Linked DNA regions of Saccharomyces cerevisiae S288C. Changing the gene in region 3 together with the main gene of any one other region gives a genetic interaction. Each region holds a gene or a part of one and is shown on either strand. Other genes may lie near its edges. The genes, in order: RIM9, NPR1 and TKL1.

Evidence for each region.
Region 1: mutations in TKL1 (region 3) and RIM9 together harm fitness more than expected from each alone (negative genetic interaction), as found in Saccharomyces cerevisiae (2 studies listed by BioGRID).
Region 2: mutations in TKL1 (region 3) and NPR1 together harm fitness more than expected from each alone (negative genetic interaction), as found in Saccharomyces cerevisiae (2 studies listed by BioGRID).

What each region holds. Positions count from the first base shown.
Region 1 is NC_001145.3:395,050-398,428, reverse strand, and holds RIM9 (Rim9p), read right to left. Parts: upstream 1,353-3,379; coding exon 633-1,352; downstream 1-632. Other genes in the region: AEP1 (Aep1p), read right to left, coding at 1-526; ARG7 (glutamate N-acetyltransferase), read left to right, coding at 2,050-3,375. UniProt on the Saccharomyces cerevisiae protein: Required for the proteolytic cleavage of the transcriptional repressor RIM101 in response to alkaline ambient pH, which is necessary for sporulation and invasive growth.
Region 2 is NC_001146.8:293,751-297,509, forward strand, and holds the start of NPR1 (serine/threonine protein kinase NPR1), read right to left. Parts: upstream 1,760-3,759; coding exon 1-1,759. Other genes in the region: chromatin-binding/pre-rRNA-processing protein IPI3, read right to left, coding at 2,210-3,759. UniProt on the Saccharomyces cerevisiae protein: Nutrient-regulated protein kinase that promotes the activity of at least 6 distinct transport systems for nitrogenous nutrients under conditions of nitrogen catabolite derepression.
Region 3 is NC_001148.4:693,112-696,870, forward strand, and holds the start of TKL1 (transketolase TKL1), read right to left. Parts: upstream 1,728-3,759; coding exon 1-1,727. Other genes in the region: OPY2 (Opy2p), read right to left, coding at 2,626-3,708. UniProt on the Saccharomyces cerevisiae protein: Catalyzes the transfer of a two-carbon ketol group from a ketose donor to an aldose acceptor, via a covalent intermediate with the cofactor thiamine pyrophosphate.

The DNA.
Region 1 (3,379 bases), on a different chromosome or scaffold from region 3:
CGGACTCGACCCTGGATTGCAAATCATTCGTGTTTTCAATCTCTGATAATATATTTTCAAGACCTCTTAATTTGGCAATATCGGTTGAAGACAAATGCAGAACGTGAAAAGATCTAACGCTTTTGCTCGCAGGTGTAAGTACAATATTTCTTTGATGTTGTCGTCTTGCAACGAATTCCATCAACCATTTATTCACTCCCCTAATATCATCAAACTTTAATTTGCTATCAACTAGTATGGTTTTTAGGCTCACCGGGTGTTTTATCAGTGATGGAGCAATTTTTTTGCCATCAAGCAGGCTAGGATTGTATTCCGTAGCGCATGCCGTGAATTGTTCTATTGCTGTTGGTTGGTAAAATGGGTGAATTATTTCTTCCGGATGAGGAACTTTATCGGCATGTTTAATGATCTTTCGACCGTCCGCTACTAAAGGAGTCTTTTTAAGTACTGGGTACCATTTGCGAGATTGCATCCTAATGAAGCACAGGTTTCTCCATTTGCTGATTTCTTGCACTGTAGTAATCATTTTCTAAGACCCTTAACAGATAGTGATGGAGGAAGAAAAAAATGTACAAATATTTGGAAGCCGATTGGCAAACCGATGTAACGTGCAAAATGACACATGATGTTACTTATTCAATGAACCCTCTATATGTCACTTCTGGAGCAATCAGACTATCTGTATGTGTTGGAGCCACTTCATATTCTGAGCTATTGCCGTTCTGTTTACTCTGGTAAATGTCGGAAATTGAGTACTGTTCCATTGAGCACGCATGCGCAATTGACTGTTGCGATTCATATTTTTTGACTGACACAACTCTTCTCATGACCCACAGCATGGAACAACAAAGTGCTACGCTAATAGTAGCGGCTAGCATTAGCCAGCCGGGCCAGTCCAGTTTGGAGATGAACAGAAGAATATCTACCAAAAAACATAAAAGACATAGCATGAACGTTGGCAGCGAAAAAAGGGCCGTGAACAATAACATCTCAGGTGAGTCCCCTAGTGGAGTTACCATGATAATCACTGCTAAAATTAATAGCGTTCCTGTGAATGCCAGTGAAATCGGGTGAACCACTAATAAATTGGAGACGACCACTTTTGAGTTCGATGGCAGGGTCAAAACGTGCCCGGAGGAGTCGACATCTGTACTGTCATATCCTATCTTCATTTTCGTGCACATCAATTCTTGGTTTTGACCACGTACACACCAGCCAAACAGGCCATAATAGTGGTTTCTGAATGACGATAACGATAGGTACTTGGTCACGGGGACGGTTATTAGCGGAAGTATTTCGAACATGGTTGTGATTGCTAGCAAAAACACCACAATATGGATCATGCTAACCATTCTCCTCTTTTCCTCAATGAATCTGTCTCAACCGTATAAATCTTTGTTTAGAAGGACGTCTCTACTCATTTCCCGGTTCTCAACGCTCATCACTATCTATCTATATTCATTGTTTCTTAGCTTATACTTGCGCGCGCCGCTGGTGAAAATCAAACTATAGCGAGATTCGACAATAAATTGGCAGTTACTTTTAGTGATAAAGAAAAGTCATGTTTTGTATATAGTCATAGCATGCTGTGTTGTAAATGTGATCTGTCTGAGACGTGTCAGTAGATCATAAATTTACAAACATTAAAATACATTTTTCATCGCTGTATAGCAAAAGTAATCTTATACTTTGTTGGTATGCTGAAGTAAAACACAGGGCTCTTGGCTTCACCCCCACGCTGTATCATAGAATAAAGAGAGTAGTGATGCAATAGGGCCGTGGTTAGACCCAAATTGAAGGTAGCGTTGATAGTAGTACTAAGTGAGAGTGCTTAGCAATCATTATTGACGGTGTTTTCTTGGCGAAGGTCTTTTTCTACTGCGATGGACAGGTAGGATGACTCACTGCGTAATTCGTTGCCAACTTCTTTAGTCGTCGAGTATATAAAAGCCTCATCCTCGGCTCGCCGCACAAAGGTGACGATTTTTGGGCTAGTATCAGCAATACTTCTATTCCCTTTATTTAAAGAAGTCCAAAATTCAACATAGCATGAGAATATCATCAACATTGCTTCAACGCTCGAAGCAGCTTATAGATAAGTATGCATTATACGTGCCCAAGACGGGCTCTTTTCCTAAAGGATTTGAAGTAGGCTACACTGCATCTGGAGTCAAAAAAAACGGGAGCCTGGACCTGGGTGTAATCTTGAATACCAATAAATCTCGTCCTTCAACCGCAGCAGCTGTTTTCACGACCAATAAATTCAAAGCTGCGCCAGTTTTGACATCGAAAAAAGTCCTTGAAACTGCTCGTGGTAAAAACATCAACGCTATTGTAGTCAATTCCGGTTGTGCTAACTCGGTCACAGGTGATCTTGGTATGAAAGATGCCCAAGTAATGATTGATTTGGTTAACGATAAAATTGGTCAAAAAAATTCTACCCTAGTCATGTCTACAGGCGTTATTGGACAACGACTACAGATGGACAAGATCAGCACTGGTATCAATAAAATTTTTGGAGAAGAAAAGTTCGGCAGTGATTTTAACTCTTGGTTGAACGTAGCCAAATCAATCTGTACTACTGATACTTTCCCAAAATTAGTTACATCTAGATTCAAATTACCTAGTGGTACTGAGTATACTTTGACAGGTATGGCAAAGGGCGCGGGTATGATTTGTCCGAATATGGCTACCTTATTAGGTTTCATAGTTACAGATCTTCCTATTGAAAGCAAGGCGTTGCAGAAGATGCTGACTTTCGCTACTACCCGTTCATTTAATTGTATATCGGTGGACGGTGATATGAGCACCAATGACACAATTTGCATGTTGGCCAACGGTGCTATTGACACCAAAGAAATTAACGAAGACTCTAAAGATTTTGAACAAGTAAAATTGCAGGTCACAGAATTTGCTCAGCGCTTGGCCCAGTTAGTCGTTCGCGATGGTGAAGGTTCGACAAAGTTTGTTACTGTTAACGTTAAAAATGCTTTGCATTTTGAAGACGCCAAAATAATTGCTGAATCAATCTCAAACTCTATGTTGGTCAAAACCGCACTATATGGGCAAGATGCCAATTGGGGAAGAATATTGTGCGCGATCGGGTATGCAAAGCTGAATGACTTAAAATCTCTAGATGTCAACAAAATTAATGTTAGCTTTATTGCTACCGACAATTCAGAACCTCGTGAGCTGAAGCTTGTCGCTAATGGTGTGCCACAATTGGAGATCGATGAAACAAGGGCTTCTGAAATATTGGCTTTGAATGATTTGGAAGTGTCTGTCGACTTGGGAACCGGTGATCAGGCAGCACAATTTTGGACTTGTGATTTATCACATGAATATGTAACAATTAACGGTGATTACCGTTCATAAATTC
Region 2 (3,759 bases), on a different chromosome or scaffold from region 3:
AAAATACCACAGCAGCACCAAAATCGATTAATTTTACAATACCTTTTTCGTTTATAACACAATTATCTAGCTTTAGATCTCTATGAGCTAAGCCGATACTATGCAAATATTGTACACCAGTAAGTATTTGTTTGAAGCAACAACAAATCTCTTCATAGGACATTTTATTACTCATTACAATAGCAAATAAATCGTATTCACAATATTCCATAACTTGGAGAATTCTATCATTTTCATACACGATTTCAATTGTTTCAATGATATTGGGATGATTCAAAGTTGTACCAATACAGTATTCTGATGTAATTTTCTTGACATAATCTCTTTTGGATTCATTTTCAAATTTAGTTCTAAACTCCTTCACTGCAAATATTTTGTTATCTGAAATTCTTTGAGCTAATTTGACAGAACCTCCTGCTCCAGCGCCTAAATCGGCACCGGTTTTGATGTACCTTTTTGAGAACGGAATTCCTGAACCGCCGTGACTATGAGAATAAATAGTATCTCCATTTCCGTTATAACTAGTGGAATATGAGTTATTCCCTGCGGCAAAATGAGACGATGAATGAGAGTGTGACGGAACGGCAATTCCGCTAGAAAGAGGTGATCCGTTCGGGATCACGTTGTTACTATTCGAGGAAAGGTTACTGTTAGAACTTTTTTTGAAGAACCTCTTTAAATCACCGATGGAAGAATGTTGTGACCTTGGAACACTTTGACTTGGAGGTAAGTGGTCATGTACAGATGAGGGGGAACCGTAAAAGTTATCAGTATAGGAACCAGTTGGCTGTCTTGATGCAGAATATATGCTGCTTTGTCTTGCGCGGATAGGCTTCGGGATAGGCGTCGAACCATTGGTAACATTGGGATTCTTAATGTTTGGAGAAGGACCATTGGAATTGGCAGAAAAAGACATGCCTGCAGAGTTAGAATTTGAAGATTCTTTTGAGTTTTTGGAAAAGAAAAAATTCCCAAGCTGTGAAGAGAATGAACCTGAACGGGATATAGATCTTGATTGAGTGGCATTTGCATTATTACTATCCATCGATGCTTTTTGGAGTTTTTGTTTGGAGATAACAAAACGTGGTTCCACGCTATCTACTTTTGGGGAGGATATAACATTTGAATCGATTGCAGAAATATTATTGGGCATACCGCCTGCATATGTTTCGAGCCACGAAGAAGACAAAGAGGAGCTGTTGCTATTCGAGCTATTGTTATCTTTGTTAGAATTTGGCACGGAGTAAGGTATACTTGATGATAAAGAAGGAATGGCCCTTCCTGAAGTATGTGACGTGGTAGATAATCTACTTGTGATTCTGTTCTGTGCAGCAAAAGAACCACCATGTGAGGAAAGTCCTGCAGTACCTTGATCGTTTATTAAGGATCCAAATCTATCTCTACTTTGTGCACTTGTGCCGTAGAATGATGCAGTGTGAGCAAAGTTTGCATTAAGGAAGCTGGAGGAAAACTGATTCCTATCGTCGAGAGAGGAACCGGCTGTTGATGATGAATCTTCCTCTGAGTATATTTGAGTAACAGTTGTGACACTGCCAGGAACTGGCACGTTAGCCCTATTACGATCACTACTGCTGCTATTACTCACGCTACCAATATGACTACTACTCTTATTCCTAGAGTGAAGGTCAAGCGATTGTGACTCGGGCGTCGTGGTCAACGTATCAGCAGAAGTTCTCGGTGATGAGTTCGAAGTTTCATTTTTTCGTTTTTCCTGTAGCAATCGAGTTAATGAAGACATAATGTTTCGTAGAGCTTTCCTTTTTTGTTTGAATGGGTATGAGCTGTTGGAAAATCAGAAATAGGAAAGAGTTAGACAAAAGTATTAATGAGTTCTGGTACAAGCCAACTAGTTTGTATGGGGTTGAAAATGACGCAAAGGAACGAGAACTCCTGTTTATTATTCTTTCAATAACAAAAGCAAGATTTTTAGTCACTGCCGATTGTTGCCACTAGGTACGCCACTGACTAATCCGTACTAACTCTATACAACTAAAGGCGGCCCATATTCTGAGATAAGCTATAAGGGTAGGAATTGTGGGATGCGTCATTGATAACGAAAAAATTCCGTAATAGATGATCAGTCAGATTGAGAATGAGATGTTTCGCACAAGTGATGAATTATATCTATCTATGCTGTATATTTTAATAACATTCCTATTTTATTGTACAAAATGCGCGACTATTCCGTTTATTGCTTGTCAAGCATCTGTTGGTGTTCCTCGTACAGCTTTTCGTGCATGTCACGTAACTCCTTGTAGGCATGAGTTAATGCTTCTATGTTGGTCTTAAGTTCTGTAATTTCCTCATCTTTAGCGGCATTGCTGTCTAAAGATGAAGTGGCGTCGATTTTATTGTCAATCACTTTTACATTGCTTGACACCTTACCGATATGTGAAAATATCGATTCTTGCGTTTTGACCTGCTCCAAATAGGCATTAAAGTCGTTAAGTGGTAATGCGAGGTTAGGATCTGTCTCTGCTTCTGGTTCTCCTATCTGATACCAAATATCGTGTAAATGGCCTTTGTTTTTACCATCAAAGATAACTCTTTGTAAGTTTGGTATCTTCATAAAATTGTGACCATTATTATTACTAGGTTGTTTGCCTTTGGATTCTCCTTCAAAAAGTAAATTTCCACGTTCGAGTCTGTAAGGGTTGGTTAAGAGATTGGTCACTTCTCCAACTGAATCCTGTGATGTAGTTAAAGTTTGGATAGTTCTAATGATTTGTTTTGAGTAAATTTCCGCAATAGAAACTTTCCCCTCCGTATCACCGATCAATAATAATGTACCATCCATTGATATTTCTAGGCATGACACATTTGAATTTAGGACATTCTCACAGACAAGTTGGCCCATTGCATATAGTGCATCCAAATCTTCATTTTCGCCGCCAGTTAGTGAGTTACGTTGCACTAGGGAAAAAACCCTACCTTTTTGAACTGTGTTTACTCCGGCGGACTGTAGCAGATTAACGATAGCATTACCCTTTAGTTTATAAAATAAATTCAATGAAAAACAACCTTCCGCAGTACCAATATAGCATGCTCTGTCAGCAGGATCCAGTACAATGGATTTGATAGAATAAGGAGTTGTAAATGTCGCAAGCAATACTGGGGTCTTACCAATACTAACGTCATTTTCGTTTGCCTTCTGCTTCTTTTTGCTGCCTATTAAACTCAAATCATAGCATCTAATGGTAGCATCTTGAGATACTGTGAAGAGTTTCGTATCAGTACATGATAAAAATTTTCCTTGACTAGAAGAAACTTGGAAATCTGTCACGGGTAGAGTATGATCGTGAAGGATACATAAAGGCTTAGGATCATCATTGGACGCTGATACCAAGTCAACAGTTTGCCATATAATAACTCTCGAATCGTTACCAGAAGTAATAATATACTTGCCGTTTAAAATGGACTTAATCTTGGTGATACTTTGGTAATGAGCCATAGGCTTCACGTTCAATAAAATCCCTGAATTTAACTCCCATATGTACAATTTACCCGATTCGGTGGAGCCAAGTAAAAGGTACGGAAGATTGAAGTCTGGTAAATTATGATTGACACCTTGAATTCTATCATACTGCACACCATCATTTTCAACTACTTCCAGACATTTTAGGATTTCAGGTAATGGTAAGCGCTGTTCAACAGATTCTCTTTTGAAAGAACCTGACAGATTGTAGACATTGATTAATGCTTTTTGTGCTTGAGCAATAAAAAGGTATTTATTTCCTA
Region 3 (3,759 bases):
AAAGTCTTAGCAGCTTCAACACTCAAAGACACTTCGGAACCAGTAGCCACTAAAATAATATCTGGGTTAGCAACATCTTGTAGTACGTAACCACCCTTAGAAGCGCTTTCAATAGAGCTACCTTCCAATTGTGGCAAGTTTTGTCTGGACAAAGCAATGATACTTGGAGTATGCTTGGATTCTAAAGAGTTCTTGTAGGCGGCAGAAACTTCGTTACCATCAGCTGGTCTCCAAACTTGAATGTTTGGTAGGGATCTGAAGTGTGCTAAAGTTTCAATAGGTTGATGTGTTGGACCATCTTCACCGACACCGATAGAGTCATGTGTAGCAACCCAAATAACTGGGTGGCCAGACAAAGCGGACAATCTAACGGCACCAGCAGCATAAGAAACGAAGTTCAAGAAAGTACCACCGTATGGTTTGTAGTTGGCACCGAAAGCTGAAATACCGTTCATTATGGCACCCATAGCGTGTTCTCTAATACCGTACCTAATGTATCTACCAGAGTAGTTACCTGAACCGGAAGAAGGAGGTTGGAAGTCAAGGGCTTCCTTCCATCTGGTCAAGTTAGAAGGTGTTAAATCGGCAGAACCACCAATCAACTCTGGCAATTGATTGTAAACATCCTCAAGAACAGTTTCTGATAATTTTCTAGTGGCCACGGCAGAGTCCTTGGCGGTGTAAGTTGGCAACTTAGATTCCCAATTTGCGGGTAGTTGGCCGCTCAATCTTCTAGCCAATTCAGCACCTAATTCTGGGAATTTCTTTTGGTATTCGCTGAACAACTTGTTCCACTTGTTGTTGGCTTCGACACCTGGCTTTAAAATTGTCTTTTGGTAGTGGTCGTAAACTTCTTGTGGAACAACAAAGGACTTGTCTGGGTTGAAACCGAATTTGCTCTTTAGTTGTTTAACATCATCTGCTTTCAATGGGGCACCGTGCACAGAGTGAGAGCCGGCATGCAAGGAACCGTAACCAATGGTTGTGGTCATTTTGATCAAAGTTGGTTTGTCCTTGGATAACTTAGCTTGAGCAATAGCCTTGGCAATACCGGCTAGATCTTCGTTACCATTTTCTACGTACAAAACTTCCCAACCGTAGGCTTCGTATCTCTTAGCAACATCTTCATCGAATGAGATACTGGTAGCACCATCGATAGTGATCTTGTTGTCATCGTAGATGGCAATCAAGTTACCCAATTTCAAATGACCAGCCAAGGAGGAAGCTTCTGAAGAAATACCTTCTTGCAAACAACCGTCACCCAAGAAAACATAGGTGTAGTTGTCAGACAAGGTAAAGCCCGGCTTGTTGTAAGTGGCAGCCAGGTTAGCTTGAGCCATGGCCATACCAACAGCGTTGGAGATACCTTGACCTAATGGACCGGTAGTAACTTCAACACCTGGCAACTCAAATTCAGGATGACCTGGTGTTCTGGAACCCAACTGTCTGAACTGTTTCAAGTCTTCAATAGACAGATCGTAACCAGTCAAATGTAGCATAGAATACAACAAAGCGACCGCGTGACCGTTAGACAAGACAAATCTATCTCTGTTGATCCAGTCTGGGTTGGTTGGGTTCATGCGCATTTGACTCCATAGAACGTGTGCAGCTGGTGCCATACCCAATGGAGCACCTGGGTGACCTGAGTTGGCCTTGGATACGGTGTCCACAGCCAAAATTCTTATGGTGGAGACGGCTAGCTTATCAATGTCAGTGAATTGAGTCATTTTGTTTGCTAAAGAGGTAACTATGTAGAGTTGCTTGGGATGAGCTTCCTTCTCTGTTGTACTTCAGTTTGATCTGAAACTTAAAAAACGAAATTTAAAAGGAAGACAACGGTGAGAACAAGAAATGAATGAATCAAGAAGTCACGATCAAGTATGTAGGTAAAAGATCAGGGGGGAGTATGTACGTAACCAAAAAGATTGGGAAAGAGTTTATATATGAATCATGCCTACGATCGTACCTTCTTGGCTTTCCCAAGAAAATTTTTCATCTCTCGAACTTCTCGAGAGATTGCGAACGGAACGGCAAACGCCGCCGGCATTTCTCGGAAAGAAGACTAGAAAATAAATGACGGTGGGAAAAAAAGCAAGAAGCTACGGTTACCCGCAGCGGCACTATAGTAGATGGGCTTTTAAGCCCGTTTTCAGGGTCAGGTAATATGTAATGTAGTAGCACTTAAACTTGCTAACCATAAATGACCAAAATGCAAGTTTGCTGTATTTTAGTCCCGTTGGCGTTTTCGGATGCTTCATTCCCCAGAGAAGTGATGTGTATGCGAAAAATGTCTCAATGCAGCTTTGGCTGCTGCGGAACTTATCCGCTTTGTAAGCACATCTTGTTTTAATGTGTATGAATTTTTATATTTGGTTCGAAAATTATGACATTCGGCCAAGAAACTTTCAGAGGAGCTGTGTATTAGCAGATGGTAAGCGCACGTTGAAAATGCTGAATATTATTAATTTAGACATACCTTGATGGCTGAACAGTAGTCAGAAAATTAAAAAAAAAAAAAAAGCGCTTATTACGGCGTATACACGTAACTATATAGACGTAGATCATTGAATATTGATATGATATAATATTTTCCCCGGGATTGCAGAATACTGACACGCCTTTTATTTATCGTTCATCGTGTATTTCGAACTTGTCCTCAAACGGGCTCTCAGTGCGACTGCCCTGGGTGCTCTCGCGTATCGATTCTGGAATTTCCAAGTCCAGTATAAAACTTCCTTCTTCATCGTCATCTTCGTCGTTATTACCATGGCTTGCCTCGCTTTTTGCCATGTGTGAAAGATCATCCGCCTCTGTCTGTTCTTCAATGACATCCAAGTCCTGAATCTCCTTATCACTCTCTTCCTCTGCGATTTGAACCAGTTTAGGTTTAGCACGAATAGCAGTTATGAGGTTATCGTCTGCGTCCTTATTGAGTACCTGGTTATGCTCGTCATCTTCGTCATCCAGACCATCCAAGATGGAAGAACCTAAGGTTATATGTGACCTGATATCACCAGCTGCATTTTGTCTCTTAGAGCTCGAGCGTAGTTTTGATTGCAGTTTGTCGGTACTCAAACCGCTTGTCACACCAGGAATGTAGGCAATAGGCAAAATATTAGAAGCCCTTGTACGAGTGGTAGATGCTGAACTTCTGTTTCCCGGCACGTTGAGAGTTGGAGGTACCAGTGACGTATTGAACAGGGTGTGACTTTCATCTTTTCTCATACCGCCATCATCCTCATCGTCTTCATCATCATCGTCTTCATCGTCGAAGTATTCCTCTTCATTCCCGTAACTTTGCGATGCCTCTTCCAATTTCAAAGCTTTATTTTTTTGCCTTTTGGGCTTCCAATATCTCTTGTTGATGAAATACAACGCCACCAAGGCAATAAGCATCGCACCACCTACAATACCCACGGTGAACCCCACAATCAACGAGGTTTTCTCATTTGAATTACTGGAACTAGAACTAGAGGAGGAGGAAGATAAACTACTCAGTTGTGAATCGGACTGTTTCGCACAGTATGTGGATGGGCACTTGTCACATGTTAATGAAGTCATAACACAATATTCTCCTGAAGCGCAAACAGGGCATGATGCAGTTGAATCGCAAACAACACATCCGTCGCTGCCTCTAGTTGCAGAAGTTGAAGAGGTGGCTGTGCTTGACAAGGATGAACTTGCAGAAGCCTTGGAGGAGCTCGACATTTTTTGTTTGATTTTCAGAAAACGAACGTAACCAGTTTGATAAATGTGGTG